2 linked regions of the Callithrix jacchus genome follow. The protein of the gene in region 2 interacts with the protein of the main gene of each other region in a biochemical or structural test. Links are inferred from orthologs where the notes say so. Each region holds a gene or a part of one and is shown on either strand. Other genes may lie near its edges.

Region 1 (4,447 bases), on a different chromosome or scaffold from region 2:
TGAGTGGCTGGCTGTTGGGGTAGGGGAGGCCTGCAAGGTTTTTTTTAAGGTGCAATTATAAATAAAGCCCATAGATCGCGATTTCAAACAAACTTGTCAATCTGGGCCGCAGCAAAAGGCGATGGAGGCAGCTTTGCATGTATTTCGGGTGGTGTGACTCATGAGCATTACTTGTCTCCCCTAGGGAAGGAGCCTGCCCACCCACAAGTCACTGCTGCTCTGGCACCGCTGGGATAAATCTACCAACTTGAGCACCCCTGCCCAAGGACTGCCCCCATCTTCTTACCGAGCAGGAGACTCTGACTTTTGGAGAACTCTTCCTCAATCGTCACCACTGATCTGGCCCCCAGGTCTGGCCCTGGGGTCCCCTGCCCTCTCCCCACAAGCAGAGGAGTGCCCCGCCTTTTGCTGCTGCAGGGATTGGGGGTTGGGTGCACGCGCGGCACACGTGTACGTGGGAGCATGCTCAGTGCGGGGGCTGCACCCACGTGCGGCCTGCACCTAGGCTCCCTGCCCCCCTGGCCACCCACGTTCCTCACCTGCCTCGCCTTTGCCTGTCTCTTCGTGTGAATCCAGAAGAAAAGCCGTCACCTGAAATGGCCCCTCTATGTTATATGAACCCTTTCTGGACACACATACCTCTGGTGGCCCAGAAACACCGTGGGTGTGTATAGGCCGGATGACAAGTGGATATGAGTGCACACAGGCACAGTGGTCACTCCTCGGGAGGTCTTTAAAACCGTCCAGATTCTCTCCTCTCTGGATGGAAGCATGCATGGAGAGATAGATGTATTTTTAGTCCGAAGACAGGAATACACTGCCTGACCTTTCCGGCACCTGGGCGTCCATATTGTGTGGGCGTTTTCAGCAAGAGTGTGACACCACACACACACCTGGACACACAGATGTGGACACTACAGGACCGGGACGCACACTTCACCCCAACCAGAGATAGACGGGTACTCAAGGCACAGCCCCTTTGACGTGGAGCGGGACTTGGGCCTCCAAGTCCTTCCTCTCTTCCCTAATCCCCGCCCTCGCTGTCCCTGGGCCCAGCGTCGCCCGGGCCACCCGACACCGAAAGTGAAGGGGAGGGGGCTGTGAGGGTGACTCACACTGCCTCCGGGCCAGGAGAGCGCTGCAGCAGAGGCCGAGGCCTCAGGCCACGCTGCCCGCCGGCACCCGGCGGCGGCCGCGGCCCCTTTAAGCGTCCCCGCCCCCCTCCCTCCCGCGCCCGGGCTTCCTTTCTCCGGGGGGCGCGGCCGGCAGCGCGCGGCGGGGCGGGGGTGCGGCCCCTCCCCCGGTGGGCAGGGCCTGCGCCGCTTCCTGCAGGAGCGGCCGGGAGCCGCGCAGGGGGCGGAGAGAGGAGCGGCAAGCGGCGGCGGGGCGGCGCGGGGCGGCGCGGGGCGGAGGACGCCCGAGGGCGAGCGGGCAGGCGGGCACGGCGGGTTCCGGGCCAGCCCCGGGGCGGACGGTTGGCCGGGCGCGCGGAGCCTCGCCGGGGCCACGCCGGAGCCGGGCCGGGCAGCAGGGACCGCCGCCGCCGCCGCCCGGGCCCGCCGCCCGCGCCCCCCACGCTGGCCCAGAGGGCTGCGGCCGCGTCGCCGCTGAGGATGTCCCGGAAGGGGCCGCGAACGGAGGTGTGTGCGGACTGCAGCGCCCCGGGTAAGCGCGGCCGGGCCGGGGGCGGGACCGCACAGCCAGGCCGCCGCCGCCGGGCGGGCGCCGGGGCCAGGCGGGAGCGCCGTGCGGGGCCCGAGGGCGGGGCCGGGCGGGGGGCCTCGGCCTCCAGGCTCGGCCCCCGCCCGGGCCACTGCGGAGCCGCGTCCTAGGCTGGAGAGCCGGCCTGGGGAGGCCCCTGCTCCCTGGCGGCCGTGGACTAGCGAGGAAGGACGTTCCCGGCGCCGCCTCCCACCCCTCGGTCTGAGGGAGGCGGGCAGCTGGCTGCTCCTCCACCTCCATCTCTATATCCAACGGAAGCGCCAGCCTGGGGTGGCAGGAGGGCCGTGGCGGAGGCCGGCAGGGTTTGGGAGGAGGGGGCGAGTGTGGTTTTGTGTCATCTCAGTGCCACCCCCGCGTCTTGCACCTGCTGCTCTCGTGGTCGGCACGCCCGCCGGGGTGGTGGAGGGCAAGGAGCAGAGGGCCGGGCATATGCGCCAGTGGAGCCTGGATACCGTCTCCTCAGGAGCAGATGAGCGGTGGCTACTCCCAGGACTCCCTGCCTCGGGTTCCTAACGCTGGGGCTCCTTGTGGGGCCTGGTGTTCAGGGCCAGTCCAGACCCGGGTGTTTTCCCTGGCGGCATCCCCAGGCCTGCTGGTGACTGGGAACAGCTCGGCTGGACCCTGCTTTTGCTGTTCCCCAGTAAGGCCTGCTTGAGAACGCGAGCTTGGCATTGAGCTATCCTGGGCTCGGCTCCTCCCTGTCCGCTAGCCCAGTCTGGCCAGAAATGGATGGGAGGCAGTGGCAAAAAAGTGCCTAGATTCCCCCATCCTGCTGGCTTCCTGGCCTGCCTCCTGGATGTATTTACATAGTGGTTCCCTTCTCTTTCGTAGCAGAGTTAGGACTGGGCTGGAGTGAAACCCCCCTGGCCTGCTGAGGAAGTTAGGAGTAATGATCCTAGAGGCTGCTCCCTTCTGATGGGGGAGGACAGCCAGTGATGGGGCTCTGCAGCTGGCCTGGGAGGGAAGCTCTAGCCCCATCCATTCTTTCTTTAGAAAAGGAGCTGTCTCCCTGGAGCAGGGAGCAGGTTCCAGAGGTCTGTGGACTCTAGGGAGAGTGGGCATGATTAAGAGTGAGAGTATGGTGTGCTGTTTTGTGGACCCATAACTTTCAGCCACCCCTTGAGCAGGCCCAGGACCCCACAGGTTGAGCCTCACAGATGCTCTGGTGGTTCTGGGGGTGCCAAGCTAGAGTATTTGGGAACTGGGAACCTGGCAGGGCTTGGGGACGAGATACTCGATGGGCATTATGACTGGAGGAGCTATCTGGGAGTGGGGGTCCATACCCCTAAGAAACTGTGACTCCCTTTCCCCAGATGCAGACAGGTCTGGGGATGGCAGGGCTGAGGACACCTTGCCTTATAAATGTCTGTCCCATTGTTCCGCACCTCCATGGTGTGGGCATGGAATGATGGGAGGAGAGGCTTAGCAGATACCCTATCAGAGGAGCCTGGGCTTTAGTGTAGTGTACCTTTGTTCCCAGCTTACTCTGTAACCCCAGCAAGACTTTCATCACTGTGGGGGCCTCAGTTTCCTCAATTCTGAGGCAAAGAAGTTGGAGTAGAAATTGTTTTTGAGGGGCTGCCATCTCTGAACCTGTGGTCTGATTCTGGGGCAGTGAGGTGTAGGGCAACACCAGCAAGGCAGTTACCCCTTTTTTTTTTCCTTTTTTTGAGACAGAGTTTCACTTTTGTTACCCAGTCTGGAGTGCAATGGCGTGATCTCTGCTCACTGCAACCTCCGCCTCCTAGGTTCAAGCGATTCTCCTGCCTCAGCCTCCTGAGTGGCTGGGATTATAGGCATGTGCCACCACGCCCAGCTAATTTTGTATTCTTAGTAGAGACAGGGTTTCTCCATGTTGGTCAGGCTGGTCTCAAACTCCCAACCTCAGGTGATCCACCTGCCTCAGCCTCCCAAAGTGCTGGGATTACAGGCCTGAGCCACCGAGCCCAGTTGGGAGTTGTCCTTGCTACATTGCGTTGAGTAGTTGGCCAAAGCCTCTGGATACCCAGTGAGCTCAGGGAGGAATGGTGAGCGTGTAGTATGTTGGATTGCCCAGCTCCTACCCCCAGGTCCTCATCCGTCAGAGGCATTTGTGCCCCAGATATCTCCTTTCCCCTGATCCCCAATAGAGGTCAGGAAGGTAGTGAGAAGGTGAGGATGGTAGTGGGGGAAGGATGTGGACAAAGTCTTACTCATTATCCCACCTCCCACCCAGCAAGGTGTCTGGCATGTGGCAGGCATTCCGAGTGTTTGGCTGCTTGTCAGGACCCTGGCTGGCTGTTTGGGACTGTCCCACACCTGGACAATTAGGATGCTGGCCCTGGTGAGCAGTGGCACATTTGGTCTGGGTCCTGTAGCATCTCAGGCAGAGAGGCATGAGGGTACCCGGTAGTCTGGAGGCCAGATCCACTGCCAGCCCCCGTGGTGTATGACTCCACCCCAGGGTCACAGGCTTCTCTTATTGCAGGAGCCCTGCAGTTCCAGCCACTTGAGTAGGCTCAGGGGCTTTTGTGCTTGGTTAATTTGGGAGGTCATGGAGGTCAGAGGTGAGATGCAGCCTGTCCCCAGAGAGCCCCTTGCTCCCTCTGCTTCCAGGCCTGGGCGCACGGGACAAGAGTGAGTGTGTTGGGAGGGAGCTGGACATGGTGTGGCTGCTCTGGCAGCTTGCGCCACCTAGTCAGGTACTGTGTGCCCTGGCTGCCTGGGGAGTCCGAGAGGAAGGGGG
Region 2 (3,806 bases):
TGGAACTCCTGACCTCAGGTGATCCACCCACCTTGGCCTCCCAAAGTGATGGGATTACAGGTGTGAGCCACCATGCCCGGCCTGGGTTTACTATTCATTCATCCAAACTCTCATTCTTAATATTCCTGTTAACATTTGACAAGGGGAATGTGACTTATCAGAAGGAAAACTGAAATCGAAGCCACAAGGAAAACATGAACACACTCATGTGGACTCTTCAGGTGACAGAGCCTGAGTTGAAGGCCAAGCTATAGTTACACTTTCTAAGAATTATATGCATGATTCTTGGAAGAAAAACAGTAATTTTTTAAAAGTCCCTAGTTAAAAAGATATACTGGATTTTCTTCCATAAGTATATTATAAATCTCTGGCAAACAATAGGTAAATAATATAGCGTTTTACTAACAATGCCACAAAGTAAGCCATTCACACCCAAAATGTCCGGTTTAACTAAGGTTTTATAAAAATGTACTCCTGATTTCTATGCAGGTGACAGAGAATAAAACTTAGGAACCTACTTATAGGAGGGGTAATGACAAACAATTTTGCAAAACCCTCATTAGCACAGTTTTCAGTTATTATTATTATTTTGTAGAGATGGGGTCTCACTGTGTTGCCCAGGCTAGTCTCAAACTTGAGCTCAAGTGATCCTCCTGCCTCAGCCTCCCAAAGTGCTAGGATTACTGACATAAGCCATCATGCCTAATTAGCACTTTAAACATTTTTTTTGTTTTTTTGAGACAGAGTCTCACTCTGTTGCCGAGGCTAGAATGTGGTGGCACAATCTTGGCTCACTGCAACCTCCACTTCCCTGGTCCAAATGATTCTTGTGCCTTAGCCTCCCGAGTAGCTGGGATTACAGGCACGTGCCACCACGCCTGGCTAATTTTTGTAGAGACGGCCTTTTGCCATGTTGGCCAGCCTGGTCTGGAATTCCTGGCCTCAAAGATTAGCAGTTTTTAATGCCACTTCGTTTCCTCCAGTCTGCTTGCTGCCCTCAGAACGGAGAATGAGTGACAGCGGCCTGGAGCACAGGGGCTGCCGAGCAGCCGCCACTGACACAGGCTTAGAACTTCACCAGCTTTATGAATGACACATTTAATCGTCACAGATACTCTATGGGGAAGGTACTACTACGATGGCCATTTGACAGATGGGGAAACCGAGGCACAGTGCAGTTAAATGACTTGCTCAAGGTCATGTACCTCCTAGCAGCAGAGCTGGAGTCAAACCTAGGCAGCCTGGCTCTCCAACCTGTGCACTGCCTTTCATTAGATGAGTGCAGGATTAGAGCCGAGAGACCTGTCAGGAAGCCATGGTCAACTGTTAACCTCGAATCAAAGTGGTTGTCAAAGGGAAGACCCCACACAGCGCCTGACATCATGGCAGTGATATGCTCTCTCTGGCTGGTATATTCGGTGGCGGCCTCACTCCACTGGGGACTTCTGGGAGGTAGACGTGACTGCACAAACAGCAGCAGCAGGGAGGGGAGAAAGGCAGGCAGAGCTTACATGAGCTGGAAAGTGTTATTTAAAATGTACTGGGTTATTTTCTCTGGTGCGCGGAGCACTAAATTCTGTGGTCGGGAAGCTACTACTCCACTGTTTCCTGAAAGAGCTTCCAGCACGGCCTGGCGCGCACACGTGGCTACAAGGACGCCTCAGGCTTCCTGAGAACACGGACGAGCACTGAGCTTCATTAGTTGGAAAAATATGCTAAGATTCAACCAGACAAAATGTTTTTTAAAATTCTCTTATTATGGTTAAACTTCTGTAAACAAATGTTAGAGCTAATTTAAAAACATTTATTTTGGACATGCAACCATACTCAAGTGCCTTGTAACGTATTAAAGAGGCGGTTTCAGACCATGATTAATGCTCCAGACAGAAAGCTGCTCATGCTCCCCGCAAGCTGCCAGTTAGCGCGACCCACCACATACCGTCCATCTGCATCTTCTTTGGCTGCATAGAGGGCGAGGACATGGAGGAAGTCACCCGGAAGTTTGCAGGGAGCGTCTCTGCTGACCCAGCAGCTAAGCCACGAATGTCCTTTGGTCTAAACTTTTTTCTCCATGAAGGTGCTCTCCTAAAGCTTTTATCATCATCCTGGTAAATGAAAGAATAAACAGCCAGGTTCATTTAAAAAATAATAAAGGTCAGAGATGGAAAGTTAAATGTGCTTTATAATGACTGCTGAACTCAAGAATGTTTTCTTGTTCACATGTACGGAATCCCTTCTTTATGACCACAGTGTATTGCTCAAACCGGAACTTCAGCAAGAAATGGGGCATGGTGATGGTCGGGCTGTGTCTCAGCTAGCTGACTGAGGTGGGTGCTGGGCCGTGGGGACGATCCTTCTACCCAGCATCATGGCTGAGTGAGGTGGGTGCTGGGCCGTGGGGACGATCCTTCTACCCAGCATCATGGCTGAGTGAGGTGGGTGCTGGGCCGTGGGGACGATCCTGCTACCCAGCATCATGGCTGAGTGAGGTGGGTGCTGGGCCGTGGGGATGATCCTGCTACCCAGCATCATGGCTGAGTGAGGTGGGTGCTGGGCCGTGGGGACGATCCTGCTACCCAGCATCATGGCTGAGTGAGGTGGGTGCTGGGCCGTGGGGACGATCCTTCTACCCAGCATCATGGCTGAGTGAGGTGGGTGCTGGGCCGTGGGGACGATCCTTCTACCCAGCATCATGGCTGAGTGAGGTGGGTGCTGGGCCGTGGGGACGATCCTGCTACCCAGCATCATGGCTGAGTGAGGTGGGTGCTGGGCCGTGGGGACGATCCTTCTACCCAGCATCGTGGCTGAGTGAGGTGGGTGCTGGGCCGTGGGGACGATCCTTCTACCCAGCATCGTGGCTGAGTGAGGTGGGTGCTGGGCCGTGGGGACGATCCTTCTACCCAGCATCGTGGCTGAGTGAGGTGGGTGCTGGGCCGTGGGGACGATCCTTCTACCCAGCATCGTGGCTGAGTGAGGTGGGTGCTGGGCCGTGGGGACGATCCTTCTACCCAGCATCGTGGCTGAGTGAGGTGGGTGCTGGGCCGTGGGGACGCTCCTTCTACCCAGCATCGTGGCTGAGTGAGGTGGGTGCTGGGCCGTGGGATGATCCTTCTACCCAGCATCGTGGCTGAGTGAGGTGGGTGCTGGGACGTGGGGACGATCCTTCTACCCAGCATCGTGGCTGAGTGAGGTGGGTGCTGGGCCGTGGGGACGATCCTTCTACCCAGCATCGTGGCTGAGTGAGGTGGGTGCTGGGCCGTGGGGACGATCCTGCTACCCAGCATCATGGCTGAGTGAGGTGGGTGCTGGGCCGTGGGGACGATCCTGCTACCCAGCATCATGGCTGAGTGAGGTGGGTGCTGGGCCGTGGGGACGATCCTGCTACCCAGCATCATGGCTGAGTGAGGTGGGTGCTGGGCCGTGGGGACGATCCTTCTACCCAGCATCGTGGCTGAGTGAGGTGGGTGCTGGGCCGTGGGGACGATCCTTCTACCCAGCATCGTGGCTGAGTGAGGTGGGTGCTGGGCCGTGGGGACGATCCTTCTACCCAGCATCGTGGCTGAGTGAGGTGGGTGCTGGGCCGTGGGGACGCTCCTTCTACCCAGCATCATGGCTGAGTGAGGTGGGTGCTGGGCCGTGGGATGATCCTTCTACCCAGCATCATGGCTGAGTGAGGTGGGTGCTGGGCCGTGGGGATGATCCTTCTACCCAGCATCATGTTCTACTTCTTATGTTGCAGGAATCAGTGTCTTGCTACATGATACATTCTGATTTATCTTAAAAAGTTTATTTTTCATTTTTATTTA

What was found.
Region 1: the proteins of PPFIA1 (region 2) and GIT1 form a complex in vitro, tested with the Homo sapiens proteins (2 studies listed by BioGRID). The link is inferred for Callithrix jacchus from reciprocal best matches to the Homo sapiens genes PPFIA1 and GIT1.

What each region holds. Positions count from the first base shown.
Region 1 is NC_133506.1:104,019,938-104,024,384, forward strand, and holds the start of GIT1 (ARF GTPase-activating protein GIT1), read left to right. Parts: upstream 1-1,351; 5' UTR 1,352-1,613; coding exon 1,614-1,665; intron 1,666-4,447. Other genes in the region: ANKRD13B (ankyrin repeat domain-containing protein 13B), read right to left, coding at 640-777. UniProt on the Homo sapiens protein: GTPase-activating protein for ADP ribosylation factor family members, including ARF1.
Region 2 is NC_133511.1:127,324,178-127,327,983, reverse strand, and holds part of PPFIA1 (liprin-alpha-1), read right to left. Parts: intron 2,386-3,806; exon of another isoform or gene 2,251-2,385; intron 2,175-2,250; exon of another isoform or gene 2,106-2,174; coding exon 1,940-2,105; exon of another isoform or gene 1-1,939. UniProt on the Homo sapiens protein: May regulate the disassembly of focal adhesions. May localize receptor-like tyrosine phosphatases type 2A at specific sites on the plasma membrane, possibly regulating their interaction with the extracellular environment and their association with substrates.